Pelodiscus sinensis: one gene and its partners. The protein of the gene in region 3 interacts with the protein of the main gene of each other region in a biochemical or structural test. Links are inferred from orthologs where the notes say so. Each region holds a gene or a part of one and is shown on either strand. Other genes may lie near its edges. The genes, in order: CREB1, MYB, CREBBP and TDG.

Region 1 (7,949 bases), on a different chromosome or scaffold from region 3:
AAAATGCAGAGAATACCGGACACCTAAAATGTCTAATACTTTCTGATTTTTTCCCCAGTCAGGAGGCGAAAATGCTGGGCACCTGGCAACCTACAAACACTCAGGGCCCAGCCTCCCCCCCTCCCTGAGCCCCCCCTGGCTCCCAACTTGTTCTTGTTGCTCAACAACTTTGGTCTCCCCCCACCTTCTTTTTTTCCTTCAACAGAATTTTTTCCAGGTGTTTGGTTTTTTTTGGGGAGGGAGGGGGGTTTCGATATTTTTGTTTCAACCATCTGGCAACCCTAACTGTGGGTTAAGTCCTCTTTCCACCACCTCCAGTTTCTCCAAAGTATTCACAATAGGGTTGCCAGGTGTCCAGTTTTGAACCGGTCAGTGCAGTATTTGAGCTTTCTGTTTGGGAAATAAATTGAGAAAATATCAATGAGAAAATAGAAATGTCCGGTATTTTCTAAATAAGATGTAATGTAGATTGTGATGTAATGTCAAGCGTGTCCGGTACTTTTGTTGACACCATCTGGCAACCCTAATCCACAGAAGAAATTGTGCTGATGTGTATTTTTAGTTGAATGTGATTCCATTCTCTTGCAGGATTTTCTTAACTGGAGTTTACCAAGAAGCCTAAGAAAGTAAGCTGAGTTGCAGTCTAGACTTTACATAGACATTATAGCAATCCAACCTGAATGCAAAATGAATTACTGTGACAGCTGGCCAAACATTTTCCATTTAATCTCTTTTAAAGGGGGGTGGAAAGTTGTGTTTCCAATTCTATGGCTGTTTTCATGAAAAAGGCTTGGGCAGTGGGTAGAGGAGGCTGGGGGAAGCTATGCCTCTCCAATCAGCCAGGCATAGGCCCGTCCACACTGAACCCTTAGGCTCCCACTTTGGCTGAGCTTCTGGGCTCTAGGTCTGGTGTCATGCTACCCACCCACCTAGGGCTGCATGGGACAGGGGCTGCAGCAGCACTGTGCATACTCCCAGCCTGGAGCAGAAGCTGGAAAATGTGGGGCGGGCAGGACTTGAGTTCCAAGGTCACAGAAGGGACAGGGTCTTATGTGGAAGGGCTAGAGCTGGGGGCTAGCCTCCCGTAGCCAGCAGTTCAGTTGTCACTCATGGAAAAGTGTCTGCTTTCCACAGGAAATGTCAAGCTTTTCATGAAAAATCAAAACCCAAAAATGTTTTCCCGGGGGCAATAAGGTACTGCTTCCTCTCACTAACATGGGCATTTTACAGTGCAACATGGGAAATGTAGCCCAACCAGAAAGCCTGACCTATTGAGGAGAATGGGACAATAAGTATGGTGACCATATTTTCTGAACCAAAATTAGGGACACATTAGCCACACGCCCTGACCCCTGTTAACCACACCTCTGACCCCCATTAGCCAGGCCTCTGGAGGTAACACTCGGGGTCAAGATGGACACGTGACCAGAAGTAAAGGGTGCCGTGTGACCCCTCTAAGAACTCCTCCCACCATCCTCGTACCAATAGGAACAAGTTCGGCCCCCACAGGACCCCCACATGCAACTATCCTGCAATGGCACTAACCCAGTTTGCATTGGATTCACTCGGGGGAGAAGCTAAGAGAAGTGTTCCCTCTAAGAGTTTCCTCCCATGAGCAGAGTGAATTTTGTCTTGTGCACCAGCACTGAGTTCATGTGGCTTGTTCAGATGTGCCACGGTGGCACCCAAGTTATTAATAAATATCTTATAAACCTCTCCCTTTTCCCTCTGCTGCCATGCCTCCTACCCTCCCCCCACATCTGCTCCCCTGGTGCTGCTGCCCCCCACCCCTCACTCTCCTCTGCTGTCCTGGCTCCTGCCCTTCTCACCCCCCTCAGCCTTCCTGCGACCTGCCCCTCTCCCCTGCACCAGCCCTTCTCTTCCCCTTGTGCCCACTCCTCCTCTAGCCCCACTCTGATCATCTCTAACTACCCCTCCTCATCCCCTCTCCTAACACTTCCTCTACCCACCTGCCCTGCCTCTCTCTTCTCTCCTCTGGTGCCCGACCCTCCCCTCCAGTATCTGCCCTTCTGCTTCATCCCCAGAATCCCCTGGCACCTGCACCTTCCCTTACCCCTGCACCCTCCCGGGTGACCTTCCCTCACTGACCCTGCCCTCCTTGGCCTCTTTCTCCCTGGGGACCATGCCCCCACCACCCTTTGCCCCAGTTCTCCTCACACCCCGTGTCCTCACACGACTTGCTTCATCCCCTGACTGCCTCATGCCCACGCCTTTCAACTCCTTCTCCTAGCACCCACTCCTGCCCTCTCCATACTCCTTCTTGCCCCCATTGTCCTACCCCTCTCCCAGAATCACTCTGTCCCATCCCTTCTTCCACCCTCACTGACACCTTCCCTCCCACCCTTTTCCTCATTGTCTCCTCTTGGCCCCCTGGCATTTGTCTCTCCTCCACCCTGCCTCTTGGTGCCTGCCCCTTTCTTCTCCGTCCCTGACCCCTTCCTCTCCTCACTCCCACCTTCCCCTTAGTCTCCCCCAGCCCCTCTCCTCACCTGCCTTCCATGTGGAAAGCAGTTTGCGGGGCTGGAGTGCTATTTTTATTACCGCGGGCCCTCCCCCAGCCGGAGTCAAGCGACAGCTGAATAAGGCCCGTTCTGGTGAGGCTGCCCCAGCTGGAACATGCCTCATGCGGCTGCCACTTGATTGCAGATGGAGCCCGGGCTGCCTGCAGGGACCCAGACCGCAGTACTAAAAATAGCATGGTAGGCAGCCTCCGCTCCAGTCCTGAAACCTGCCGGGCCTGAGTGCGCCCTGCCCCAAAGAGCCCCAGCAGGGCTCCGCACAGGGCTCCAAGGCAGTCCAGAAGAGAAGGCGGTGGGGCCACCAGACCAGGGCTCCAAGGCAGTCCAGAAGAGAAGGCGGTGGGGCCACCAGACCAGGACTCCAAGGCAGTCCAGAAGAGAAGGCGGTGGGGCCACCAGACCAGGGCTCCAAGGCAGTCCAGAAGAGAAGGCGGTGGGGCCACCAGACCAGGGCTCCAAGGCAGTCCAGAAGAGAAGGCGGTGGGGCCACCAGACCAGGGCTCCAAGGCAGTCCAGAAGAGAAGGCGGTGGGGCCACCAGACCAGGGCTCCAAGGCAGTCCAGAAGAGAAGGCGGTGGGGCCACCAGACCAGGGCTCCAAGGCAGTCCAGAAGAGAAGGCGGTGGGGCCACCAGACCAGGACTCCAAGGCAGTCCAGAAGAGAAGGCGGTGGGGCCACCAGACCAGGGCTCCAAGGCAGTCCAGAAGAGAAGGCGGTGGGGCCACCAGACCAGGGCTCCAAGGCAGTCCAGAAGAGAAGGCGGTGGGGCCACCAGACCAGGGCTCCAAGGCAGTCCAGAAGAGAAGGCGGTGGGGCCACCAGACCAGGGCTCCAAGGCAGTCCAGAAGAGAAGGCGGTGGGGCCACCAGACCAGGACTCCAAGGCAGTCCAGAAGAGAAGGCGGTGGGGCCACCAGACCAGGGCTCCAAGGCAGTCCAGAAGAGAAGGCGGTGGGGCCACCAGACCAGGGCTCCAAGGCAGTCCAGAAGAGAAGGCGGTGGGGCCACCAGACCAGGACTCCAAGGCAGTCCAGAAGAGAAGGCGGTGGGGCCACCAGACCAGGGCTCCAAGGCAGTCCAGAAGAGAAGGCGGTGGGGCCACCAGACCAGGGCTCCAAGGCAGTCCAGAAGAGAAGGCGGTGGGGCCACCAGACCAGGGCTCCAAGGCAGTCCAGAAGAGAAGGCGGTGGGGCCACCAGACCAGGACTCCAAGGCAGTCCAGAAGAGAAGGCGGTGGGGCCACCAGACCAGGGCTCCAAGGCAGTCCAGAAGAGAAGGCGGTGGGGCCACCAGACCAGGGCTCCAAGGCAGTCCAGAAGAGAAGGCGGTGGGGCCACCAGACCAGGACTCCAAGGCAGTCCAGAAGAGAAGGCGGTGGGGCCACCAGACCAGGGCTCCAAGGCAGTCCAGAAGAGAAGGCGGTGGGGCCACCAGACCAGGGCTCCAAGGCAGTCCAGAAGAGAAGGCGGTGGGGCCACCAGACCAGGGCTCCAAGGCAGTCCAGAAGAGAAGGCGGTGGGGCCACCAGGCGGTTCTGCGTGGGGAGGGAGGGCAGCGAGGGAGGGGCCTCCCATTCCTGGAAGCTGGCCCAGCTGCCCTACGGCCCTGTTGGGGGAAGGGGAAGGAGGCTGCGGTGCGCGTGAGGAGCAATGGGAGGGGGCAGAGCTTCTTCCCGCACGCTGGTGTCCCACCGAGCAGTGAAATGTCTGGCAGGGCTTTCCAGGGCATTTCACTACTTCATGGGGAGCCGGGGCAGAGCATTTAAATTTGGGACTGTCGTGGAAAAATCGGGACAATGGTCCGCACGTCTATAGCTCAGGAGTGTGGGTTAGCAACTCTAAGTGCTACAGCTCCATCCATCTCCATTGCCGGCATTTATCACCAGTCCGAGGAGAAGCTGCCAAGGGCACTCCTCCGAGAGGGGGGCTTGCACCGGCAAACCCATCACACACCCGAATCTGCCATTCGCCCTCTTGGCTACAGGGCACTGACTCATCTCCAGCCTCTCATCCGCTGGAACCGCCCGGTCGGCGGTTCGGCCTTTTCCGCTCCCGCTCGGCTGTTTCCGTGCCTGGTCGGGCACCCCCGCAGCCGGTCGGCGGTTCGGCCTTTTCCGCTGCCGCTCGGCTGTTTCCGTGCCTGGTCGGGCACCCCCGCAGCCGGTCGGCGGTTCGGCCTTTTCCGCTCCCGCTCGGCCCTTTCCGTGACCGCCGCGTGTTCGGCCTTTTCCGCTCCCGCTCGGGTGTTTCCGTGCCTGGTCGAGCACCCCCGCAGCCGGTCGGCGGTTCGGTCTTTTCCGCTGCCGCTCGGCTGTTTCCGTGCCCGCCGCGTGTTCGGCCTTGTCCGCTGCCGCTCGGCTGTTTCCGTGCCCGCCGCGTGTTCGGCCCTGTCCGCTCGCGCTCGGCAGTTTCCGCGAGGGGCCGCGGCGCGCTCGCGCTCGCTCCCCGGCTGGCGCTCAGTCGGCCGCTGCCTGTCGCCGGGCTGGGGGAGCCGTGTGAGTGACGCGGCCGAGGTGTAGTTTGACGCGGTGTGTTACGTGGGGGAGAGAATAAAACTGCGGCGAGAGCCTAGGCGCAGCGAGAGCAGTGACGGAGCAGCCCGTAACCGGTAAGAGGAGGACGGCGCCCAGCCGGGGGGGGATGGAGCCGGCGGGGCGCAGGGAGCAACAGGCGGCCCGGCCTGCACCGCCAGCGGGAGGGGCGCCCGCTTTAAAGATGGAGCCGCGCCGAGCCCTGCAACATCCCCGCCGCCGCCGCTCCGAGCGCGGCGAACAAAGAGCAATGGCGGCGGGACCGCTCTGGCTGCCAGCTCGGCGCCGGGCCCCGCCTGGGCCGCAGGGACCCTCCGGAGAGCCCGGCAGCCGCTGTCCGGGCAGCGTGTCTGGTGCCCCTGGCCCGGGCTGCCCCCACTCAGGCTGGTCCTTCCCCGCCGCGGAGCCCGCTCCGGCCCCTCGCCGCCTCCGAAACCCGGGCCGGGCTCCGCGCCCCCGCCAATCCCGGCCCCGCCGCACAGCCCGCTCCGGCCCCTCGCCGCCTCCGAAACCCGGGCCGGGCTCCGCGCCCCCGCTAATCCCGGCCCCGCCGCACAGCCCGCTCCGGCCCCTCGCCGCCTCTGAAACCCGGGCCGGGCTCCCGCCAATCCCGGCCCCGCCGCACAGCCCGCTCCGGCCCCTCGCCGCCTCCGAAACCCGGGCCGGGCTCCGCGCCCCCGCTAATCCCGGCCCCGCCGCACAGCCCGCTCCGGCCCCTCGCCGCCTCCGAAACCCGGGCCGGGCTCCCGCCAATCCCGGCCCCGCCGCACAGCCCGCTCCGGCCCCTCGCCGCCTCCGAAACCCGGGCCGGGCTCCCGCCAATCCCGGCCCCGCCGCACAGCCCGCTCCGGCCCCTCGCCGCCTCCGAAACCCGGGCCGGGCTCCCGCCAATCCCGGCCCCGCCGCACAGCCCGCTCCGGCCCCTCGCCGCCTCTGAAACCCGGGCCGGGCTCCCGCCAATCCCGGCCCCGCCGCACAGCCCGCTCCGGCCCCTCGCCGCCTCCGAAACCCGGGCCGGGCTCCGCGCCCCCGCTAATCCCGGCCCCGCCGCACAGCCCGCTCCGGCCCCTCGCCGCCTCCGAAACCCGGGCCGGGCTCCGCGCCCCCGCTAATCCCGGCCCCGCCGCACAGCCCGCTCCGGCCCCTCGCCGCCTCTGAAACCCGGGCCGGGCTCCGCGCCCCCGCTAATCCCGGCCCCGCCGCACAGCCCGCTCCGGCCCCTCGCCGCCTCCGAAACCCGGGCCGGGCCCCCGCCAATCCCGGCCCCGCCGCACAGCCCGCTCCGGCCCCTCGCCGCCTCTGAAACCCGGGCCGGGCTCCCGCGCCCCCGCTAATCCCGGCCCCGCCGCGGCTCGGTGCCCTCCCAGCCCGCCGCGCCGCGAATCGCGCTTCCTCCTGATTCCCGCCCCGATGGCCAGCTGGCCCGCAGCGGTTCTCTCCCCCTGCCCTCCAGAGTGGGCCGCCCCCGCAGTCACAGCTCCCGGAGCGGGGCGATGTTTTAATTCGTGTCAGACAGACCTCTCGAAAGGTGTATCTTTATTCCCTGAAGCATACCAAGTGCTGCGGCAGACAGCCCTGTCTTAAGGGTCAGCTCTGTTAACACACACTGTCATGTATTGCACAAGTATCTTGGATTAAAACTGAATTTGAAAAGCTCCTTCTCTTTATGCTTATTCCATTCTATTTGGATAATACACAGCCTACCTAGTTTCACTCATTTATCGTCGATTTCATTTTCTGACTGATATGGTACTGGTCCGGTAATATCTGGTTAAAGGAATTGTAACTAAACTATGTAGAAACGTATGTAGTATTTTAGTTTGTTACAGGACTAGTGGCGGGGGGAGGGGGGGGGGTTTCCAATAAAAGCTTTTCAAGAGTTTATTCTGGGGCAGACTTGATTTGATGGGCTCTTTTTAAAATGGGGTATGCACATGTTCAGAAGAAACTGTCCAGGTCTCCCAAAGCATTGCTTTTCATGGCAGTTCAATTGAAATAGTGCAGAGAAGCTAATAATCAAGATACAGATCTCTGCACCCTACTCCTGGTATGTAGCAGTAGGAAGATGTAATCTTGTTAATACTTCAATACTAAAAATGAATTTCCCCATAAGTGTAACTGTAGGAAATTTTGATACAGTGGTCAGTCTTGCAACTAACCTGCAGGTTTCTTAAATGAGAATGCTGCAGACACAATGATAGTTGGGTTGCACCTGTACTAAAACTGTATTATTCCATTATCCTGTTTTATATTTGATATATATACCACATTACACAATTCTGAAAAATATTTTAGGTATCTTACCCCCATCATTGCCATTCTAGTTTTTTATTCCCTGCAGCTTCAGTATCCATACTAGAAATTCTTAATTTTTGTTTTGTTTTTCCACTTGCTGTTGTACACTTCCTTCCTTCAACTTCTAGGATTCTGCATCTTGCACAGTCTTTTCATCTAATTTAAAGGCACAATGTTTTCAATTTTTTGGGATTAATGATACATACAGTGGTGCTGGAGCCAGGAGTGGGAGTGAGGGGAGGCAGTTGGTGGGAACATGGCCCTCCCGATTTATCAGCTTCCATCCTGGAGCTGCTTTTCCAATGCCCCAGAACTAGTTTGGAGGCCCATGCCCATGTTAAAAAGTAGAGTAGGATTCCAGCACCTTTGTGAATCCTATAGTAGGTTTAAAACTTTAAAAATTATGTGGTTTTTATGAAGTTTGTGTGGCTTATCTCTTCCCTCCAAAACTTTTTTTTTTTAAATATATAAACTCATGCTAGCAACCCAGTGTGTCTGGGTCGATGGCTAGATTCGCCCAGTATAAGAAATTAAAACTTCAGTGGGGGGAGGAGGAAATCAGTTAACTTAACCAGTGGTTCTTGT
Region 2 (7,247 bases), on a different chromosome or scaffold from region 3:
AACCGCTGTAGTAGAGCTGATGTGTAGGCACTGTTTCATATTTTCTATTTCTATATTTACACAAAGGAAAAGGCTTTGGTAATATAAGGCATTTCTAGTATCCATTTAAATGTACAATGTTATAAGTATTATTACTGGATCTGTGTGGAGTACTTTGAAACTGTACCAGGAAGCATTATATAAAGTATTGATATTACTGGGGCCAGTCTTCAAGTCCTTCCTCAGGTAGTACTCCCACTGAAGTTATTGAAGTCTAGATGAATTTTATCCCAGTTATGACTGCAGTATTGGGCCTATGGTTAAGCAGAAGGAAAAGTTGATTACCCGCTGATCCTCTTCTTTAGTCCAAGGACCTTTGATAAGTTCAGGATTTAGTACTTTCTGCCATCGATGCTGGCACTGCACATCCGTCCGATTCTGAATGCACATAAAATATACAAATTAATCCCTTCTCAAATAAGATAAACGAATTGTGATATTTCTTCCTAGATGCACTTGCTTCCCAAACAGACCCTCCAAGTATCTCATTGCCAGTTAATACAATTAAACTGCAAGGGCATGACTGAGACAAGATTGAAATGGGGGTCCTGAGAAATGGATAGTAAGTATTCTGCACATTGAACTAGAAAAGCCTACTTCCATAACTGTCACTGTATTATGGCAACCAAACATACTTATCCTTTGACATCTATTAACATAACACTTATTCTTTTAAATTTATCTTTATCTATTGATTTTGAACAGTAAGAGATCACAAAAGATATATCATAAGTAGCATTTACTTTTGATCACAACTAGAGTTTTTTCCCTGGACTGAGAAATTTTTGTTTCACTGGCAGATCAACCATCTGCTCTATAACAAATCCCCCAAAAATTCTTTACATTTCTCCTCCCTTATCTGAGATGAGTAGTGAAAGAAATAAAAATAGAGCATAAAAGATAAGGTATTCAACAAGGCATTCTACTGTATTATAGCTGTGTTTCTCAAGTTCCCAATCATGGGGGGAGAGAGCTGTATATGACATGAAAACATAGTTAAGAAATAATGTCTCACATCTTCCCTTACTTAAAAATGGGTGAAGCAGTTGTCATTTCTACAAATGAAAAGAGAAACAATGTCCACTTACAGGAAGGAAATTGGCAATAACTTTCCAGTCTTCTGTACCATTCTGTTCCACGAGTTTCTTTAGTTTTTCATCCTAGTTTTTTATAAAGAAAACATTATCAATGCTCGAATCACTTAGTAATGCAAATAAAATATATCAGTCAAGCTGAGGTTAAAAAAAAGAAAACATTCCATGCTGCTGAATTTGTATCCTCTTCTTTCAGGGATCCAGTACTGACATAAAAGAGTAGTCTCTGGCCTGATTATGGTTTTTTTCTTGCCAAATGCATCTCCTCATTAGGTAGATTTTTTTTTTATTCAGTTATGGGAAGGAACTTAAATATATTATTTGGGCTTCTTGACTATGCAAATTATGCTGATCTGCACTTTATCAGCCAAGGCAATATAAATTACTATTTTTGGACAGGGATTTTCAAACAAGTCTAAAGGAATTAGGTGTCCAATGTCCACTGAAATTCAATAGAGTTCAGGTGTCATAATTTCTTAGGCTGTCTTCAAAAATCTTTAAAGATTTTAAATGCAATGTTAATCATGATACCTCACACGATTCTATACTGAATGCACAAGTAATTTGCCATATTTACTGCTGGTATAAATGGGCAAAACGCCTAAATGAGTGAAGCTCCATTTACTTCAAAAGAGTTCTGAATATTTTCACCAGCAGAGAACATGGCCCATTATCCTTAATGGAAGATCCAGTAATTTAGGCCTTAAAGACTAAAACCAGCCAATTCAAACATCAAGAATGGTAAAGGTACTATAATAACAATTTGAGCTTTTAAAAAATCTTAGAATAAGTGGCCTACTGTTTATATATCAGTGTGAATCACTGGTGTTGAACAAAACCACGTATCATTCAAACAACTGAATTAACACATTTCACACAAAAAAATTAAACCACAATAAATGACGATGGATTATCCACCCCAATAAATGATCTCTTTAACATGATAATTTACACAGAAAATAGACAAAAGAGCACAATGACTAAAAGCTACCAATGCATACTCTTATACTTAGTCTTTCAAAAGGGACATGTTTAATGTCCGTTTGTGGTGCTGAATAATTGTTTCTTCCAGATATTAGATATTGCCTCTTGGAATCACAATCCCAGTATTAAAGTACAAACTGCAACTGACCCCTTTAAGAGGAGTGCAAAAGTTTGCACCATAATTGTTTGCAGCTGTCAAGATAGTGACTAGACGTCATTTCTTACATAGCAACCATTTTCAAACAAAAAGGGCCAGCAGTAACAATCAAACATTGCTACAGGTAATTTTAAAATTAGTTTTAACTAATGCATAGTTTTAACACCTGTATTGCAAACAATCTTGCTGGAGTCAAGGATCAGTATTTAAACTTTTTTAAAAAAAATAATAACCTTCAAAGATACATCTAATTTTATGTATATAATCAAGTTCTTCCCTCATACATATACATAAGATTCATCCTGAAGTTGATAACTAATTAAATCTGCACGAGAGAAGAATGTGATCAATTTTCTCTCTTTTTAACCCAAATGTAGTAAGTGAACCTTTTCTTACCTCTTCACGGGTCCACCTGGTTTTTCCTAAATGACGTTTTCCAGCCTTTGGAAGCAGACCATCGTAGTCATGATCATACATCTCAACATCTTCATCGTCATCATCACTACTATATATACTGCAAAAAGAAACATGAGATGACTTAGACTGGAACATGAAGATTTAAGTTACTGAATTACAAAATATATGAAAAACAACAATCTTCACAAAGGTTATACAGATAAAAGTTTGAAAACTTGCACAACGAGATTTTGTTCTGCATTCTGTTCTACTATTCTGAACTGGTTCTGCTGTTTTTGGTATCCACAGATACAAGCAAAGGGCTGGCAACCTTCTTATTACTGTACATGTTTAGACCTGCTCGTACTGTTAGATCAGTGGCAACTTACACACTTGGCAGTCTTTCAACCAATGAAAGTTTCAAATTAAAATACAGTGTTTAGAACAATAGAGAGAACAAGAGGCTATGTCCTTTTCACAAGTGCAGAAGCAAAATCTTTAACATGTTCTATACATTTTGAGTACTTACTCAAATCTGTATATTTGGTATTTTATATACAAATAGAAAAATAGAAAAATTATTCAATAATATATTTAGTCATGATTTTGGGATTAGAAGACCAAAATATTGAAGGGCACAGGTTTTTCAACACTAATTAAAAAGAAGGCCATCAAGTGATCACACTATTTTGTAAATAAATTCTTATCATATGTGCCACAGTTCATGGTTGATACAGACAAAGCTGAGGTCAAGTACAATATAAGATTTCCATAGTAATCATATGAATGATCATCTTATATAGAGTATTTTGCTAACTTTATAGCTTTATTACCTTTATCCCATTTCTGAATACTCCATACTGTTTCTGAAATATTCTAGTCCTCACCTAATTCATGACTGAGGGATTTCCCCAGAGGCTATGTATGGGTAAAAAGAAATCTACTGCTGTTTTCACAAACAGCAATCACTCTATCCTGCTAGCTAAAACTGAAGTGTTTTGCAATAGGAGTTGTCTTTCTGTTGGGTAATGTAGCTTTTCCAACTCCAAGATATAAACATCACTTTTGAAACTTCAACAAAGAGATGACATCTCCAGTACTATAGAAAAAACAATATAATATTTGATTAATGGCTGTGACATATGGAAGAAAACTTTAGATACAATTTCAAAAACCTTTTGTGGTAAACAGCCTTATTAAATAATCCACACTAACACTTCCATTAACAATAGACCAGGCACTAGTCGTCCTGTTAATCTTGATTTTCAGATTGCTTTAATTTTAATGTATCAAAAAGCTTAAACTTTTGATATATTAGATTAAAATATCACTAAGTCTTCAGCTATGTCTTCTAGCACATGTTGCCTATCAAAGAAAATTGCTACTTAAGAGGTTTTTCAGCATCTCCAGTGATGCATGTGGCCTATTTGAGAGCAAGTCCCAAGCAGCTAACAAACTGACAAAACAATAATTCCATTCTTAATTAATTAACACTATGTCTAGGTAGAGAGGACCATGTGACAAGATAATTAACTCACAAAGACTTATGGAATATTTAGGCACTGCTAGTGACTTCAACTCAGCCCAATCCTGCAGCTCAAAAGAGTAGTTCTTCACAGTACAGTAGTAGTCTCACTGAGGAAGTGGGTCTGGCCCACGAAAGCTCATCACCTAATAAACCATCTTGTTAGTCTTTAAAGTGCTACATAGTTCTGTCTCTTGTTTCAGCTAGACCAGACTAACATGGATGCATCTCTATCACTGACTCCAGTATGACTACTTATATGAGTAAAGGTTATAGAGTCCTATTCATATGTACAGAGTGACAGCTGTAACTCTAGTTCTTTGCTGTTATTTTTTTAAAGTCAGATTTCTACGTGACACATGAAGACAACTGTGTGATTGCTGCTGATGTTAAAGGAAGTTATGTAGCTAAATCACCAGGTATCATCTGAAAATTGGTATCACTGATATTGAAAGTACCAGGTATAACCAGCAGGGTGACATTTACCAGTGCTGCCAAATGTTCTAGGTTCATCAATGGCACATGGCATAAGTGAAATTGTAGTAGAATATTAGCAATGAAAATTTTAATATTATTTTAAGGTAATGCTTATGATCTAAATTCCTTCTTTACCTCGGAATGACCTCATAGTGACATAAAGAATGAATAACTCACACTCTGTGTCTTTTGTGGCAGAAGAATAAGAGGGGAGGGGTTGTATAGCACCTTCTGCACCATATTTTGCAAATCTGGTTTCTAGCAGATGTCTGAAAAATTTCTGAACATCTGCCTAAACAAAATCTGACTCCAACAACAAATGTACTTGCCAGTTACCAGTGAAATGGACTAAGTCAGTGAAAGGGTTAATGATGCCCCCACATGCTGGCTTTCTGTGCCGTTTAAGTACTCTACAAATATGAATGCTACATTTTTGGTCAAGGAAACCAAATTGTGCAATGATAAAAAGGGGGGGGCGGTGGAGAGGAAATGACTTGCTGCTGTTACTGTGATTGAAGAAAGTAGGCACAAACAACCCAGGGGAATCCACTTTCGTTGTTTTGACTGATCCACCTTGCCGATTTCTCCTTGCAGAGCACTCCACGAAGCCGCTTAAGCGTTGCAGTCTAGAGTTTCCCTTCTTTCACGAGCACATTCCCTATGCAACCAGAGGGAAGGTATCTGCTGCTCCGCAGCCCTCTGTGAACACAAACCACCTGGCTAGCAAGGACCATTCTGAAAGCTGCTAAGCAACTCCACTTTCCTCCCGTCTCTCCCGCTCATTCAGTTCCTGTAAAACGCAACTGACCCTTTCGTTTTCAGGCCTGGCTTCCTCCACCACTCCTGACAGGCTCATTCTGCCGCTCTGCAAAGTCAAAAGAAAATACAGACTACCCACTAGGCTCGCTCACCCCCACTCCACCTCCCGGCTAGCCCCAAAGAGACAAGCGAGGCGGAGACAGACTGTGTCCTCTCTCTCTCTGGAGGGACAGGATGAGTAATTCATAGCCCGTCCGTCCTAGTAACACACTCGCTCTCATTCTCAAGTAACAACCTACTTTGCACGGAGCCCCCAGCCCGAGCCTCCTTCTAGATTTCACACACTGGGTAATTTAAGCCTTTTCAAAAGCCAGCGATCGGCAACAAGAGGGGGAGAACCGCGGAGGGGGGATTTACTTTTCTGACCCAAGCCCAGGAGGCGGGAGGGGGTGCTGGACCGAAAGGAGAACGAGACTCTCCACGTGTCCGACCGCCAGTCCAGAGATAATTGGAAAACAATCCTGCGCTGTGTCTGTAACAGCAGCCACCACGAGGCGCTCAGACCTCTCCCTTCCAGTGTGCAGCACGCCACCCCCAGAGGGAAGGGAGCAGCACAGGATTCAGTCACCCTCGGCGCACACACCCAGCCACCATAGCACAACTTGGGGTCCCCCCCTTGCCCTATGCAAAAGCCCATTCCCCAACAGGAGGAACGGGCCTGCTCCCGGCCACATGACAGCTCCTGCCAAACGCCTGTCTCCTTCTTCCCTCCTCACCCCACCCCCCTCCTGCCAAAGTCTAAGTTGCTCTCAGCGTGCTGCTAAAAAGCTTGCTCGGGCTCCGACATGTGCAGAGCGGCGTGTGCATTAAAAATAAAAGCCTTGCAGGGCATAATTATAACCCGAGAGGTGAGCGGGGCAGGGTTGGAGTCATTAAAAGAAAGGCTCTGCAACTGAGGGGGGGGGGGAACTTTGCTCCCTCCCCAGTGCCTGCTTTTCACGCCGCCTGTCTGCCACCCACCTGACATCCCACCTCCACAAAGAATGAATGAAACGGGAATGAAAACTACCTGCAGCCACTAAACAAGTCCGACATTTTTGGGGCTTACATCTGCCATCTGCTTAGCTCCTCCAGCCCGAACAGACCGCAGAGCAGCTCGGCACAGATCGTTAAAGGCAACAAGTCCAAGTGGGAATCTTGTGCCCATTTTTTTTTCTAATGTGTAACCACGCGTGCCACGCACGGCCCTGGGAGATTTCTGTCTGAGCAACTTGCAAGATGCACTGCAAAATGCAATCTTCCCAATCTCCTGAGCCTTTTTGGAAGGGAGTGCGGGGTAGCACAGAAGGAAGAAAGGAATTCCTAATACGTTATTCATTTGGTCTTGCAAGGTCTGTTTAGGTTTCCATCTCCACTTCCCTGTGCAGTCTGACAGGCGTGGGAAGGCTCTAGCAAACCACTCCTGCAAAACTTAACCAAAGCAACCAAACAACCCCCAAACACCCCCTCCCCAAATCCCCACTCGCACTATCCATAGGCTGTTAAACATACGTACAAACACGCCACATGCAAAGAGTTTACCTGTGCCTGGGTCTCCTGGCCATCCTCGGACTAGCCACTGGGAAAGGAAGGGGGGACCTGTGCTGGCTGAAGTGCTTTGCTTTCTGTGCTGCTTAAAAGTGCTCCACCGCCGCACAGCGAAGTTTTCAGGAGCCGCAGCAGCAGCAGGAGGAGGAGGAGGAAACAGGTTGAGATTAAAGAGTAAACTCTGTAAACAGAGATGCCATCAAACAAAGGGCTTTCTTGGACACTCCCC
Region 3 (7,064 bases):
ATCTGATGAAGTGGGTTCCAACCCACGAAAGCTTATGCCCAAATAAAGGTGTTAGTCTTTTGCCATAGGACTCCTCATTGTTTTTACAGTTTGCTGTCTTTTTCACAATGTATCCAAACAGCCCATTCGTTTTCTAACTGCTTCTGTACTCGAGAGAAATATGTTCACGGAACTATGTCAGAACAGTCCGGAGCTACTATGCCACAGCGATAGCCACCATCTTTGCTAAAACACCAGGGCTCGAACCATGGTCCCTTAAAGCTAAAAGCACAAGCTGCTACAGCCAAAGCTTTAGAGCAACGGGCTGTAACAACTCATATCCTCTGCAGCTTGGAACAGAGCAGGACCTGTAACACACATACCCCAGTGGGTTACCCACTACCACTGCAAATCCATATCCTAGTAACAACGCAAGGTTTATCATCCTCTTGTGAACCAGAATATATTGGTTCGGAACTGGAGGAAGGATGCTGTGAACTGCTATAGATTCTGGTAAACCCTTTGTTTCCAAGATCATTGAACACAGATGTGGGAAGTGAGAAAACTCTAGGTAAGGATTGACCCAAGCCAGGGTCCAAGTTTCACTGATTGAGCATTTGAAAAATAGAAAAAGTCATTAAAAAAGTTGAGAGTTCTGCAGCCCCGTATCACTTCTGACAAGCAATGTCTCTCCTAGCTGCCAAATCCTTCTTCCTTCCTTCCTCCATGTATTTCTTTTCTTAAAATTAGATTGCAAAGCTGTCTGGGGGAGGAACTGTGTCTTGAGATGTATTTTTGTTAATATGCAAAGGGGAAGTGCATATTGGATGTTGTGAAGACCAGGACTTGAACAGGGTTAAAAAAGAAGTAGGTAAATTAATGAAAGTTAGGTCCATCAATATTTATTAGCAGGGCTTGACAAGCGGCGGCGAGCCCTGCTCGCCAGCTGCGCGGTTTGGCACGCTGTGCATGCACAGACCGCGCTGCGCATGCACAGATCGCGCTGCGGCGCCATGCTGGGCTAAAATCTACTCGCCACAGGCGAGTAGATTGCCCTAATTGTTGAGCCCTGCTTATTAGCCAGAATGGGTAGGAATGGTATCTCTGTTTATCAGGAGCTGGAAATGGATGACAGGAGAGAGATCACTTGATGATTACCTGTTTCTGTTCATTCCTCTAAGACACCTGGCATTGGCCACTGTTGGAAGACAGGATACTGGTCTAGATGGACCTTTGGTCTGACCTAGCATGGCCGTTCTTATGTTTCAGAGGGGTAGCTATGTTAGTTCGTAACTGGAAAAACTTAAAAAACAACAAATAGTCTTGCAGCACCTTAGAGACTAACAAAAATGTAGATGGCATCATGAGCTTTATGTATCACGAGTATTATATTATTTTGTGATGGGTGTGCATACATTGCATGAAGGCAGCAAAGGAGTGCACCGATAGGTTTGTGTTTTGGGGACGATGTCTGGGGGTGTGCACATGCTATAGGATGCCAGTGTGAGGCTGAAAAATGCGGGGAAGCTGCATGATAGTCATGTGGGCAAGTGTTGTGTGGAGGTCTGGGTTCTGCAGGGATTGGGTACATGTGGGTGGAGAGCATCACTTAGACATTTAGGAACCACAGGGTGGCAGCATGGGGGCTGTGGGTGGACATCATAGAGAAGTAATGGAGGGGACACAGGCTTGTTGTGTGGGAAGGTACGGACACCACAAAGGGCATTATGGAAAAGACAGCATGAGAGATACAGGTCAGCATTAAGGGGGTATGGGGGAATGTTGCTAAGAGATTTGGGTGCCGTTGTGTAGGCAGGTTGTGCGCTATTTTTCATCAATGAGCAGAGCCGGCTCTAGGTTTTTTGCCGCCCCAAGCAAAAAATTTTTTGGCCGCCCCCCCTTTTTCTGTTCAGGGAGGGACTTGGGGACACAGGCACTGTGAGCACCAGAGTTCCCCTTCCTTAGACAAAGGGAGAGGGAGAATCACCTGGGTCCCAGCCAGGGGTGAGGTTGTCAGGACACAGCACAAGGGGGCTGGGTTCCTGGGCAGGTGTGTGGGGGAGGGGAGGGAGGGGGGGAATGTTTAGAGAGCCAGACAGGGGATGGGGATCCAGGCGGGGGGAGGGGGGAGAAGAGACGGGATCCCAGCAGGATTGCAGGGGGCTAGGAGGAGAAGAGAGGGGGGAGGAAGTGGGAGGGAGGGGGGGTCACAGGATAGTGGGCAGGGGGACAGCCAGTCAAGGGGGGTTCACAGGCAGGAGAGCTGTGGGGGAGAGAACACAGGCCGGAGGGGTGGGAGAGGGGGAGTGGTGGGAAGGGTGCACGGGAGCAGGGATTGCCGGCCGGGGGCGGGTGTGCACTCACGAAGGCAAAGAAGAGGCCCTCAGGCCCAGCCTCATCAGCCGCAGCCCCCTCTCAGGAAGTACCCAGGGCTGCCCACGCAAAGCTCCCAGAGCTCCGGGGCCAGGTGCAGCCTCCGAGCAGCCAGACACAAGGCTCCCTGCTTGGGAGTTGGGGCCCCGCCGCGGCTGAGCTCCAGTGCCCGCCGAGCCCCTGAACTCTGGTCCAGTGAGTTGGCTGCCGGGAGCAGCCACCATGGCCGTGGCCTGCCCCGCCAGGCTTAGCGTCACCAGCTGCGGCTGCCCTGTGCTGGGGCTAGGTGCTCCGTCCTCCCAGCGCCCCACCCTCCCAGAGCTCTGGGGCCAGGTGCAGGCTCCGAGCAGCAGAGTGCAGGGTTCCCAGCTCAGGGCGGCCTCCGCAGGGCTCCCTGCTGCCCTGCTCCTCCTGCCAGCCAGAATGCCACCTCTGTCAATGTGCCACCCCAAACACCTGCTTGGTTTGCTGGTGCCTGGAGCCAGCCCTGTCAATGAGATCAGGGACGGGTGACGAAGGGACGCCGCCTGGGTGCAAGAAATTTGGATCTACTGCAGCCATGGGCAACCTAGGCTAGTGAGTGGGCTGTATTAGTGGTCCTCCATAATCTCAGTGGTCTGGAAGATTGTCAAAACAACGAGAAGTCCTGTGGCACCTTGTAGACTAACAGATTTATTGGAGCATAAGCTTTAGTGGGCAAAGACCCTCTTTATCAGATGCAAGATTGTGGTAACCAAGACGGTCTCCTTGGTCAGGGTGGCTTTGCTAACTTCTGAGGGGTATGCTGATTGAACAATAGCAGTGCTTGGATTGGATGCAGAGGGGGCGCACGGCTCTCACAGTCTGTGTTGTGTGCAATCAGCACGCACCTCCCTCCATGTGCCCTTGCTCTATGTGTGTGTGTCACTTAAGTGATAATGGTAGGAAAGAAAACTATGTGGAAGGAAACCAGCAGACACTGGCAATCATGGACAAGGGTAAACAAAATGACTCCCGGGTTGCACGCAGAGCCCTGATGGGCCGCAGGTTGCCCACCATGGATCTGCAAGGAAGCAGCAAGTGAAGGGTATGGACAGATAGGGCAACGAGAAGGCAGCGTGGGGAGTGTTGCAGACTGTTGCACTAGTATTATTGGGGAGCAGCATGGTGCAGAGGCCAAGGCAACAAAAGTCCAGCTTGGTACTCTCTGTAAATGCTGGTGGGTGATGCACCCTGTCAGCCCGGTGCTATGATCCCTGGGAGGGGGTGCACTGCTGTGAGGCACAATGGCAGGGCAGGCAGGAGTGCTCTGCACTGGCGGAACAGTGGGGTGGGTGCTGCCCCGTTGCACTGGTGCTGCAGAAGGGGGGCACAGAGCATGGGGCCAGGTGGGCAGGGCAGGGAGTAGCATGGGAGTGGTGTGGCTGCTTGGTGGAGGCTGTTGCCCTAGTGGGATGGGGTTAGGGACAGCAGAGGTGCCCCTCCGAGGTGGCTCCAAAGGGGTAATTGAGCAGGAGCCAGAGGGGCGGGATTACTGTGCACGCTCATTTACATAGGTTTGCATCCTCTCCTCCCCCAGCCAGGAGCTCCAGGGCAGCTCGGCGCTTTCCGGCAGGGCTCGCCTCTTTCCGGGACGGGGCGTGCCCCCCTGCGCGGTGACGCAGCACGCCGGCCCCGCCCCCGCCCCGCCCCCATGGTCCCTGGAAAAGAGAAGAGAAAAAAAAACTTTTTTTTTTAATTGAGGAATCAACAGCCGCCATCTTGTCGCGGAGCCGGAGCGCGGCGCGGGCGGGAGCGGGGCCGGGCCGGGCCGGGCCAGGGCAGCGGGGCCGCCCGCCGGGGCACGGGCAGCCGCACGGAGCGCCGCGGAGGGCCAGACGGGCTCGGCCAGCGGGGCAGCGCCGGCCGGGAGGGGGCGAGCCGGGCGCCGCCGCCGGGACCGGGCGCAGTGGCCGCCGCGCTCGCTGCGCCGCGCTCATTGTTGTCCCCGCCGGCGGCGGCGGCTGCGGGCGGGCGGGGGTCGCGGGCCCGGGCGCGGGGCCCGGCGCGGGGCCGGGGCGAGCCCCCCGCTCGGCGGGGAGGGCGGGGACGCGGCGCGGAGGAGCGGGGTGGGGGGGCGCTATGCTCCCTGAGTGCCTGACTGACTGAGCCGCCATCCGGGCACCTCCTCGCGCGGCGGGGAGGGCGGGGGAGCGGCCGGGAGGAGCGAGCCAGGCGGGGGGGCGCTGGGCTCTCTCCCCACCCCGCCCCGAGCCCTCCTCCCTGCGGCCTGCTGCGGCGGCGGCCCGGCCCGGGCATGGGGCAGCGGGGGCCGCCGCCGGCCGAGCACTGAGCGGCGCTGTTCCCCCGGGCGCGCGGCGCGGAGTCTGCTGGCGGCTGCCCGCGGCCGGGCGCGCAGGACCGGGCGGCCCCGGGGCTGGCACCGCCGAGCCGGCTACCATGGCGGAGAACTTACTGGACGGGCCGCCCAACCCCAAGCGAGCCAAGCTCAACTCGCCGGGCTTCTCCGCCAGCGACAGCACAGGTGAGGGCACCGCGCGGGCAGCGCCGCTTCCCCGGGGGCAGCCCCTGCCAGGGGAGCCACCCGGCCGGGGCCACTCGCACTTCGCCGGGACCCCGCCCCCGCCAGCTGACCAGAGTGCAGCAGCCTGCAGCTGACTCCCCAGCCTGCCAGCTGCGCTCCGTGGCTCGGACCCGGCGTGTAACTTCAGCCCTCCACCTTAGAGCTCCACCGGGGAAGGCTCTAGGGCGTAGCACGACCTGGCGAAAGCGAGGGGCTCACCTGGCGCTGGCTTGTGCTTTAGAAATAAGTGTAAATGAAAGAGAGAGCTTCAGCATTGGTACATTTCTCTCGGAGTGGGGCAGCCTCTTCAAAGGCGTTTTGGTTTCCCAGGTGCGTGTAGACAGATTCCTTCGTGCGTAGCCTATGCGTGTGTAACTTTGACAAGACCGCAGAGTTACCTAGTGCGCTGGAATAGCTCCTTGTCTGTTCATAAATGTGTGAATGAGCAGTGTGAAGTGCTTTCGAGAAGTAGGCATTTTTCCATTACAGTAACTGCTTTCAAAAGTTTTGGCGTTGGGCAAGAGAGGCTTTTTTTTTGGGGGGGGGGGGAGAGGATTTTATAGACTTAAGGAAGGAAATTTGACAAATATTCTTCTAGGCAGTGTACACTTTTCTTTTGTGCACGTTTGTGTGTGCGATCGCTTTCACCTTCGCTTTCATCATTGTCATTCATAACCCTGGTCGTAACCCAAAAACTAGGTTTAACAAATGGTAGATTGTCTGCTCTGAGAATTTTCCTAAATATGTACGTGCCTTGTTACACATTTCAGTTTTCTTGTATACATGAAAACATCCCCACTAGTCTCGTAATGTTTACATATAATAAACTTGACAGCAGTGTGTCTTATAGCCATCTTTCACATAATAGGTGGGGAAGAGATGAGCGGGGGGGGGGGGGGGGGGGGGGATGATTGTACAGTAATTGCCAAAAGACCTGTCAGGTGTAGTACTCAGCCATTTTAACTCTTTTTGGAACTGACTGGAGTTGAGAGTGAATGGCAGTAGACACAATGCTGTGAAATGCCCTGTTAATCAAAATAACTGTTTGTAATCTTTCAAATAGTCACTTTAGGTTGCTACAGTAGTAGGTAAAAGATTTGAAACTGACTTTTGAAGGTGTTATTTTTGGAAGTTTTAATTTGAGAGAAACTCAGTTTTGCAAACTTATGCATTTTGGGTAGTCTCAAGGAACTCAACAAAATCTGTAGGATAGATACAGTTAAGCCTGTGCAAAAGTATTTGTGAGGCTAGGGCCTCAGTCAATGAAAAATGACACTGTCAGAGTAAGTACTGTATCTGACATATAGAAGGCAATACAAATTGTTAGGGTTCCAAAGTAGAGTATTAGTCAAAATGCTGAACCTAAAATGGGATCTTGTCTCTTCTTGATTAATAACAAAGTTGTGTGTCAACCATAAATGTTGCCTTTGACCAGTTTCTCAGATTGATAGATGTGAGCCACGTGCAACAGCAGGCTGCATATTGTACTGTTGAATGATGATTAAGGTTTCAGTCATGCAAATGCTTACACACATGCTTAATTTTACTATTGTGAGTAGTCTCAGTGGAGGATTGGACTATATATTTAATGAAAACACTAAGTTTTCCCTTGTTTCCCTTTCACATGCTGTTTTTTGTAGTAGTGAGTAGGTTTACTCAATCCGTTTTCTTGATAAATATTACTTCTTAGCTTGAATCATTCCAGTAAAAACATTTTTTGTTGAGATAAGATGTAGAATGTTCTTTCAAATTATTCGAGAGTGATGTAAGAATTATTTGAGGCAAATCTTCATTTGTGTATTGGAGTAATGTTTGCATGATTGAAGTTAAGTCTTGTGAACTTTTTTATGAATGTGATAGTTCTGTAAATTTTGAAATTATACATTGAGTTAGCATTTTAATAATACAAAATCAAAATATATTGATAAAAGTAAAGCCTTGTGTATATCATAAATCAGTATTAGCTAGATGACTAAAGTGATTATGTTCTTACACCAGCAACACAGTATGCTAATCAAAGCTAGTTACTACCAATACTAATTGTCAGGTTTCATCCCTATAACTAAGCTAATGAGTAAAATATCCATGGGAAAGGGTTTTCATTTATCTGCCTAACCAGTAGGATCCGTGTGTGTGTGTTTTATCAAATCCTCCGAGTTTCTTGTTGCAT
Region 4 (7,324 bases), on a different chromosome or scaffold from region 3:
GCAGCGCTGCACAGAGCCCAGGGTCAGTTGGGGACTCCAACTGATCCCAGGCTCCCACTGCGCTCTGCCCCTTAGAAATGCCCTGGCAGCGTTTCAAAGGGGCAGCACCACGGAAACACCTGCGATTAACGCATGTTAAAAAAATTAATGCGTCAACTGTGCTCTGCGTTAATCGCAGGCTTTAATGCGTGTTAATTGACAGCCCTTGTTAGGTACAAGAATTAAGAATTAATTATCATAAACAAACATTGTAAGAAACCTTGGTAATTTGCATCATGCCTTGACTTAACTGCTGAGCCCTATGTCTGATTATTGCATGCAAGACTGTATTGTGTATGTGTAGTACACAATTACAACATTGATTTGGCTACACCTGAGTGGTTAACTGTTGGTTGTATACTGTGGAAACAGGACTAGGGGAGAGGGGATTTGTGTGTCCATTTCAGGGTTTGTCAGTAGCAGAGCAAGAGTCTGGTTCATTCTGACTCTTGCTAACGCGAGAGCTAGGAGAGACGTTGTGTTCGCCTCTCTGCCTCGCTCTCCAAGATAAGAATGGAATGCTGACCTCAGTGAGAAGATAAGACCGTATCCTATGGGAATTGAGTGGGCAGGGAAGTAATTGTTTGATGTTATATGTAACAGAAAGGTATATATGTTGGGTTTTAATTGTTTTGTATTTGAAGATCTGCTTATGCTGTCTTCCCTTGCAATATTGCTCGAATAAATTGCCTCTGGCTACTTGTTGCTTACAAACGCAGAGTGAGGACAATGTTTTCTTCCACAATACTAATTTGGTTCTGAGTGGAATAATAAAATATTGATCAGCTAAGAATGTGCAAATGTCCTGATCAATGTTCCTTATAATTATTTCCATATATGTGCAGAATAAATTAAATAAATTGCATGCACCAGGGCATATATGGATGTGCACCACCAGTAGAAACACATGCTGCTGGTTGTGTGCATACTGGGTGCTCTGCTAATCAGCTGGGCAGCATTTGAATCTCTCCTGAGAAGCTGCCTCAATGCTCAGCATACAGGGAACACTGATTCTGATTTATAATACTGATCAAGTTAAAAGTTCATCTGAAAAGAACCCAGCATTAATGCTAATGACCTAACATTCACTGGACTCAGAAAAAGTTTATTATTAAATTCCATTCTATATTGGCTGGAACACTTATTCAGTTGACAAACCTAGTTTGGTAGATTTCAGCAAGTTAATAAAAAAATAACCTCCTTTCATGCTTACATAATTGGGCAGAAAGGAGAACTAGGATATATTGTGATCCTTTACCGCCAGTCATCAGGGCTTAGTATTACTACCGACTTTAGGACAAGGTATGCCCAGGGCCGGATTAAGGCGGGGCTAGCCGGTCAGCTGCTTAGGGCACCAACCTACGAGAGGCACCTTATGATAGTTGTAAGAGGCGCTGCGTGCCCAGCCGCACGGCACCCCTTAGAGCTGTCATCAGGCGCTGCGTACCCGATTGCAGCTGTAAGGGGCGCAGTGCACCGGGAGTGCGGCCACGCATGCACCATGCGCCCAGGGGCGGAGCCGGCATGCGTCACGTGCCCACTGCCCGGGGCGCAGGAATGGCTCGAGCTGGCCCTGGGTATACCTACTGATTCATTTACCTCTTAAAGAAATAGAAGACAGTAGCAGTAAGAGATTTTGAAGAGGATCACACAGATTTCAGGCATGAACTCCATGCTTTATCAGACGTGTCAGAGGGGGTAAGAAATCACACCCATTAGAATATTTGTTATAATTAAATATATATGACTTATTAGTGTAAGGTTTGCTAAAAATGATATTTGGTCTTGGATATTCACAATAGCACAATGTAAAACATTTTAGGACACCTTCATTTAAGTAAGCTTTTTATTCTGTCTTTTATACTCATTAAATCCTCTTAGTGCTTTTATTTTCAGTCTCTTCTCATCTTTACATTTTGTGATAGATTTAAAGCAGCCCATTCTGAGATATTCCAATGTTCAACAGTAAATAAATAAATCTTTCTCCCTCAAAAAACCGTATTTTTGTTTTCAATAGAATATAAGAGTTTTAATAAACAACTGACTGGATTTCTGATAATTGTATAAGGAATACTGTTTATTTCTTACAAACAAGTTGTTTTGTTTTAAATAAATATTAAGATAGATTTATTTCATATATGGACTTCAGGTACAATTTTCAGAAGTGCAAAAGTCTCAACGGCTTGAGTCCCTAAATTAAGCAAATGAGACTCAGGACCCTAAGTTATTTAGGCCCTTCTGAAAATTCTACCCTTCATGATTTCAGTAGTCTCTGGTCATTGCTGTGAGGTATGAACTTTGCTCTGTCTTTGTTTTAGACCCAAGAGTTCTGTTTTCAGTTCTCCAGGCTTAGGTGGAATTTCAGGTATAGTCTATAAAATAAATAAAACAAAGTGGTGTTAATGCTCAAAATCTGTGACTGAGGTACAGAAAACTGAACAACCAGAAAATTAGAGACAAAAAAGAACACTACATTCAAGTTACAGTTTGATTTCACCCCCTCGTCCCCAACTCCTGCCCTGCGGCCTGACCTCCTTATACCTGGATTCTACGATCCTGCCAAACCATGGATATTGCCAGATCACAGAGTCCTGGTTAAGGGAGGTACAACTTGTAGTAGATTATGTGAGTGTATAAATAGGCAAAACCATGCTATTTTCTACTCTGTTTTCTGAAACAAAGGAATATTGTGGGAACAGGGAATGTTTCCCAATGTAAAAGACAAAAGTAAGAGAAAAGGTTGTAAATGCTAAGAGCTTGGAAAAATATGAAAGCCAAAATCAAGCTATACGAATATCAAACCATTGTGATACTTTTTCCAAGATCTGACTTTATATGTATTTTCACTCCTTGAATTTCCAGACAAAGTGAACTACAAATCTCTACTAAAACTGCAGCATTTCACCTGGTGTAGGATTGAATCCACAAAAATTTCACGCTTTCCATCCAAATCGTATGTTGATCTAACTTTGCCCAAAAGATCACTTCTGAGCTTTAGATCTTAATAAAACAAGTTAACATTTTCCTGGTTCTGTGACTATTTCTTTTAAAAACAGAGGCTTATTATGTACTCTCTGGTCCTTCCTCAGCACACAATGCAGCTGGTCACTACTCAATCTGCTTCCGAACCAATCTGACTCAGATTTAATAGGGAGGGGAAAAAAACACCTTGAATGAATTACTAATTTAGGATTCTAGCTCTTCTAGTCTAGAGCAGAAAATAATCTTATAATCCCAAAGTAAAGTTATTTTACATTATCAATAACCTGGTATTTCTTTTAACTTCCGTTTCTTCAAAACTGAAGAAAAATCCTGAGACGAGGCAAATGTGTGAAACTGCTAGAAAGTCATGTGCCCTTTTTCCTTATTATTGGAATGACAAACGAACATATCAACCTTTTGATATAGAAGTGTTTTGGTATTTTTGACCTAATGTCTTTTGTACACTGAACAGTTTTCCTAGCGAAGAAATGTCAAAACACATATTATTATTTAGCAGTTATAATAAATGAAATAAGAAATCAAAGCCTTAAATCACTTACAAGATCAGGTCTGTAATATCTATGCACTATTTCTGCACCTGCAAACATAGCCAATGTGCTCGCACTGATCATTTTCAAGTATTGAGACCAAGATACCCCAGCAGGCATGATGAAATGCAGTCTGCACTTAAAATTCGAGAACTCCAGCTGTCTGAGGAAAAGAAAAATTAGAAAAAAAGTTGCAATAATTAGTATGCCAACTAGCCCATGCTGAAATACAATCCACCCTGTTGGTATCTGTTAACAAGAACCTCTACATTTAATTAAATCACATCCACCTTCGGTAGGAAAAAGAGATGGGGGAGAGGAAGAAATTTGCAATAATGGAAGTTAATTTTAAAAAGTTTAAAAGTAGGTAAAGAAAATGTAAAGTGTTCAAATCACTTCAACATACTACAGAGGTAACAGTGCTCCCCGTGGACATCAGCCGGAAGAATTATTTGTCTACCCCCCCAAGGGCAACTTCAGCTCTGCTACACGTATCAATTATAATTTGCGGGTGACTGAGGCATGGGAAATGCACCAACTTGCATTCATCAAAACTCTACATTAGTTTGATCACCTGTATGTACCCTGCCCAGGACACTGAATCTGGGGAGGAAGCCCCAAATACCACGACCCGGAGACACAACTTAGGCCAGCCCGTCCCCCTGCAGGAAAGGAGGAGCCCCCCCCGCTCTCAGCAAATCATGTGATTCAGGGCTTGGCTGTCATCTCTCACGTGACTATACTAGCTGCTACGGAACTACGTCTCTTGCCAGATTGCCTCTGCTTCCCCCAAATGGGAGATCCTAGGGAGCTGCTGCTGCAAGGTTCCCTTCCAAACTGGCTGGGGAGAGAGGATGCTGCGGTGACTTGGGAGGTTCCCTCACTGTTTCCTTGTTTGGCTCAGTAAGTGTGTGTTCATTCATATCCCTGAGAGTCTAATACATCTCTCAGAGACTTTCTGCGTTATTCTGAATTCCCTACAGTGGCCTAATAAGGCTTAGTCCACTGTAGCAACCACCCTGCGCTAAGATTAGCATTGACTGAGCGATTACATTATCAACACAATAATACTGTACTAACAGAATAGTAACTCCTCTAGCACTAATAACTAGTTATGTTCACTATCCGGGAACAGTCTAGGAATTCCTGACTTGCCAAGGTTTAGGGTGTTTGGTGTTTTTCATTTGTTGTCCCCAGTTCTTGGCATTGTGTGGTTATGTGAAAATCTCAGTTGTTGTTTTTAAAAGTTTCAAGCCCTCATGATTGTGGAGAGAAAGCTTAGAAATGTGACAATTAGAGGTTCAAAGATAAGAGGGCAAATAAATATTTTATGTCAGTCTCATATCTGGGGCCTGATTCGTGACTTTTGAAACTTTGTGATAGCAGTACTTAGTCTGTGGTAACGCTGATTGCCTTGTAAGAATATAGAACCCATTCCTGTAAACATTTACATGTCGTCTTAACTTTATACAGGTGAGATATGATCTAGAAAGGCACTTTTGCATGTGCTTAACTTGAAGCCCAAGTAGCCTTGTTGGCTTCAATGGGCCTACTCATATGCATACAGAAAGGCATGCACGAAAGTGTTTTGCATGATCAGAGCCGCAGCAGCCGTTTGAAAATATATTAGGGCCTCTGCTGAGTGTTAAGAACCATTACTGTGGAATAATAATACAGTGGCATTTTCTATTAATGCCTTTGGAATCTCTTGTAAGTTGCGATAGACTAGCAATTGAATTTCTTCTCTTGCCTTGTGTTATTTTAGTTTTCGGGCATGCACGGGCACTGGTGTGCACAAAGCAGTCAGGAGTAAGGGCAGGTTAGCTGGAGTGTCTGGCACACACGGATCGCGTTCTGTCTTGACTCTCCCCCGATAGCTTCAGAACAACATAGGCGCTGTGGTGTTTCCTTATGATCAGTGGGAATCGGGCCGGGGGGGGGGGACTAGAGCCATGGAACAATCCCATCCCGGCGCGTGCCAGGCGCTCTGGGTCAGTCTGGCTGCCAGTCAGTCATCCCACAGGCCCATGGTGCTGGGCGCAGAGAAGCCCCGCCCCCTTCCCCTCTCCTTCCTCCTCCCCCTCCCGTCTCTGAGGCCTTCTCCCCCACCCCCGCAAGGTTCGCGGCCCGCTGTGGAGCCTGCTCCTGATTGGCTGCCGTCCACCCCGCGTGACCGCTCGCCCAGCAGGCCGGTCGGCGCTCGCGGTGCGTGAGGCGGAAGAAGGGGGGGGGGGGAGGAGGAGTTCGCGCTCTTGGCGGCCGGGGATGGAAGCCGAGAGGCCGGGCAGGTACGCGGGGCAGCCGGGCCTAGGCGCCCCCCCCGCCCCCGCCTCTGCGGCCGGGCTGGTGCGCGCGGGGCCTGGGCAGCCGCGGGCCCGGTGGGCGGGGCGGGGCAGCAGGGGGCTGTGTCCGGGAGGGGCGGGCTGGTGTGAGTGTCTGCTCGGGGTGTGCCGAGCGGGGAGCTGTCTGTGTGCGGGGGGGGGGGCGCCCACACCTGGGGGTTGTATTGAGCAGAGACTCGATGTTGGGAGGGTCTGTGTGAAGCTGTGGGGAAGCATCTCTGGACTAGGAGTCCCTGCCGGCTTCTATACTGGCGACAGGAGCGTCTCCGCTGTCACTGGCCGGTGCTTGGGACAGTGCTGCGTAAAGATACTAACTAGGGTGCACAGTGGCTAACTGCCTAAAAGCACCTGGGCATCTGTAACACTGGTAATCCCCGAGTGCCCCACGCACTCTGTATGCGTTACAGAGTAAAGTAATTTGATGGAAGCTTACGCAATTCGGAGTTGGCAAAGTCAGGTAGGTAGTTCTTGATTGTATGCAGTGTTGTTCTAGCCATGCTGGTCCCAGATAGAAGGTAGAAAGATAATATCTTTTACTCAACCAATTTCTGTTGGGGTGAGAGAGAGAGAGAGAGAGGAAAAACTTTGGAGCTCACTCAGAGGTCGTCTTCAGGTCACAGAGCTCTGTAAGTTTGAAAGCTTGTCTCTCTCTTTTACCGGCTGAAGTTGGCCCAATAAAAGACAGTGAGAGGAGAGGAGGGATAGCTCAGTGGTTTGAGCATGGGCTTGCTGAACCCAGGGTTGTGAGTTTAATCCTGGAGGGAGCCATTTAGTGATCTGGGGCAAATCAGTCAGAGATGGTCCTGCTGTGAAGGCAGGGGACTGGACTTGATGATCTTTCAAGGCCCTTCGAGCTCTATGAGATAGGTATATCACCATATATTATTATTAATCAATTAATTCTAAGGCATGGTCTACACTAGGTTAAGCTGCCTTCTACTGACCTAACTTTGTGTCTATATTAAGGATGTTAAAGACTAGTCGATTATCCAATAAGCAAATGCTTCTCTGATAGTCAGTTGACTACTCAATCCCTTCCCCCCCTTGCTGCCTCTATTAGAGGTAGCAAAGCGGGGGAGAGAAAGGATACTTCAAAGGGAGGCACCACACAGCTGATCCCGGCTCAGCTGTGCAGCGCTGCCCCTTTGAAATGCCAAGGCAGTGTTTCAAAGTGGCAGCACCACCAGGAGCCTGGGGTCAGCTGGAGACTCCCCAACTGATTCCAGGCTCCGTGCTGTGTTTCCACAGAACCCACAGTCAGCTGGGGAGTCCCCCCGCTGACTCCAGGCTCCATGAGAGTGCTTCCACTTTGAAATGCACAAGAGCCCTTCCTTAGGTAGCCCTTAGCATTTAGGTTGATATAGTTAGGGCAATGCAGCGCCTTTGGGCATGCTGCATTACATTGCCATTGGT

What was found.
Region 1: the proteins of CREBBP (region 3) and CREB1 form a complex in vitro, tested with the Homo sapiens proteins (15 studies listed by BioGRID, with this or other methods). The link is inferred for Pelodiscus sinensis from reciprocal best matches to the Homo sapiens genes CREBBP and CREB1.
Region 2: the proteins of CREBBP (region 3) and MYB form a complex in vitro, tested with the Homo sapiens proteins (6 studies listed by BioGRID, with this or other methods). The link is inferred for Pelodiscus sinensis from reciprocal best matches to the Homo sapiens genes CREBBP and MYB.
Region 4: the proteins of CREBBP (region 3) and TDG form a complex in vitro, tested with the Homo sapiens proteins (2 studies listed by BioGRID, with this or other methods). The link is inferred for Pelodiscus sinensis from reciprocal best matches to the Homo sapiens genes CREBBP and TDG.

What each region holds. Positions count from the first base shown.
Region 1 is NC_134717.1:75,871,914-75,879,862, forward strand, and holds the start of CREB1 (cyclic AMP-responsive element-binding protein 1), read left to right. Parts: upstream 1-4,941; 5' UTR 4,942-5,146; intron 5,147-7,949.
Region 2 is NC_134713.1:96,421,660-96,428,906, reverse strand, and holds the start of MYB (transcriptional activator Myb), read right to left. Parts: upstream 3,004-7,247; 5' UTR 2,827-3,003; coding exon 2,671-2,826; intron 1,200-2,670; coding exon 1,128-1,199; intron 418-1,127; coding exon 325-417; intron 1-324. UniProt on the Homo sapiens protein: Transcriptional activator; DNA-binding protein that specifically recognize the sequence 5'-YAAC[GT]G-3'. Plays an important role in the control of proliferation and differentiation of hematopoietic progenitor cells.
Region 3 is NC_134726.1:3,552,939-3,560,002, forward strand, and holds the start of CREBBP (CREB-binding protein), read left to right. Parts: upstream 1-4,056; 5' UTR 4,057-4,770; coding exon 4,771-4,855; intron 4,856-7,064. UniProt on the Homo sapiens protein: Acetylates histones, giving a specific tag for transcriptional activation. Mediates acetylation of histone H3 at 'Lys-18' and 'Lys-27' (H3K18ac and H3K27ac, respectively).
Region 4 is NC_134711.1:98,313,303-98,320,626, reverse strand, and holds the start of TDG (G/T mismatch-specific thymine DNA glycosylase), read left to right. Parts: upstream 1-4,313; 5' UTR 4,314-4,362; coding exon 4,363-4,472; intron 4,473-5,644; exon of another isoform or gene 5,645-5,834; coding exon of another isoform or gene 5,835-5,857; intron 5,858-6,067; exon of another isoform or gene 6,068-6,368; intron 6,369-7,324. Other genes in the region: UQCC6 (ubiquinol-cytochrome c reductase complex assembly factor 6), read right to left, coding at 2,316-2,411, 3,582-3,689. UniProt on the Homo sapiens protein: DNA glycosylase that plays a key role in active DNA demethylation: specifically recognizes and binds 5-formylcytosine (5fC) and 5-carboxylcytosine (5caC) in the context of CpG sites and mediates their excision through base-excision repair (BER) to install an unmethylated cytosine.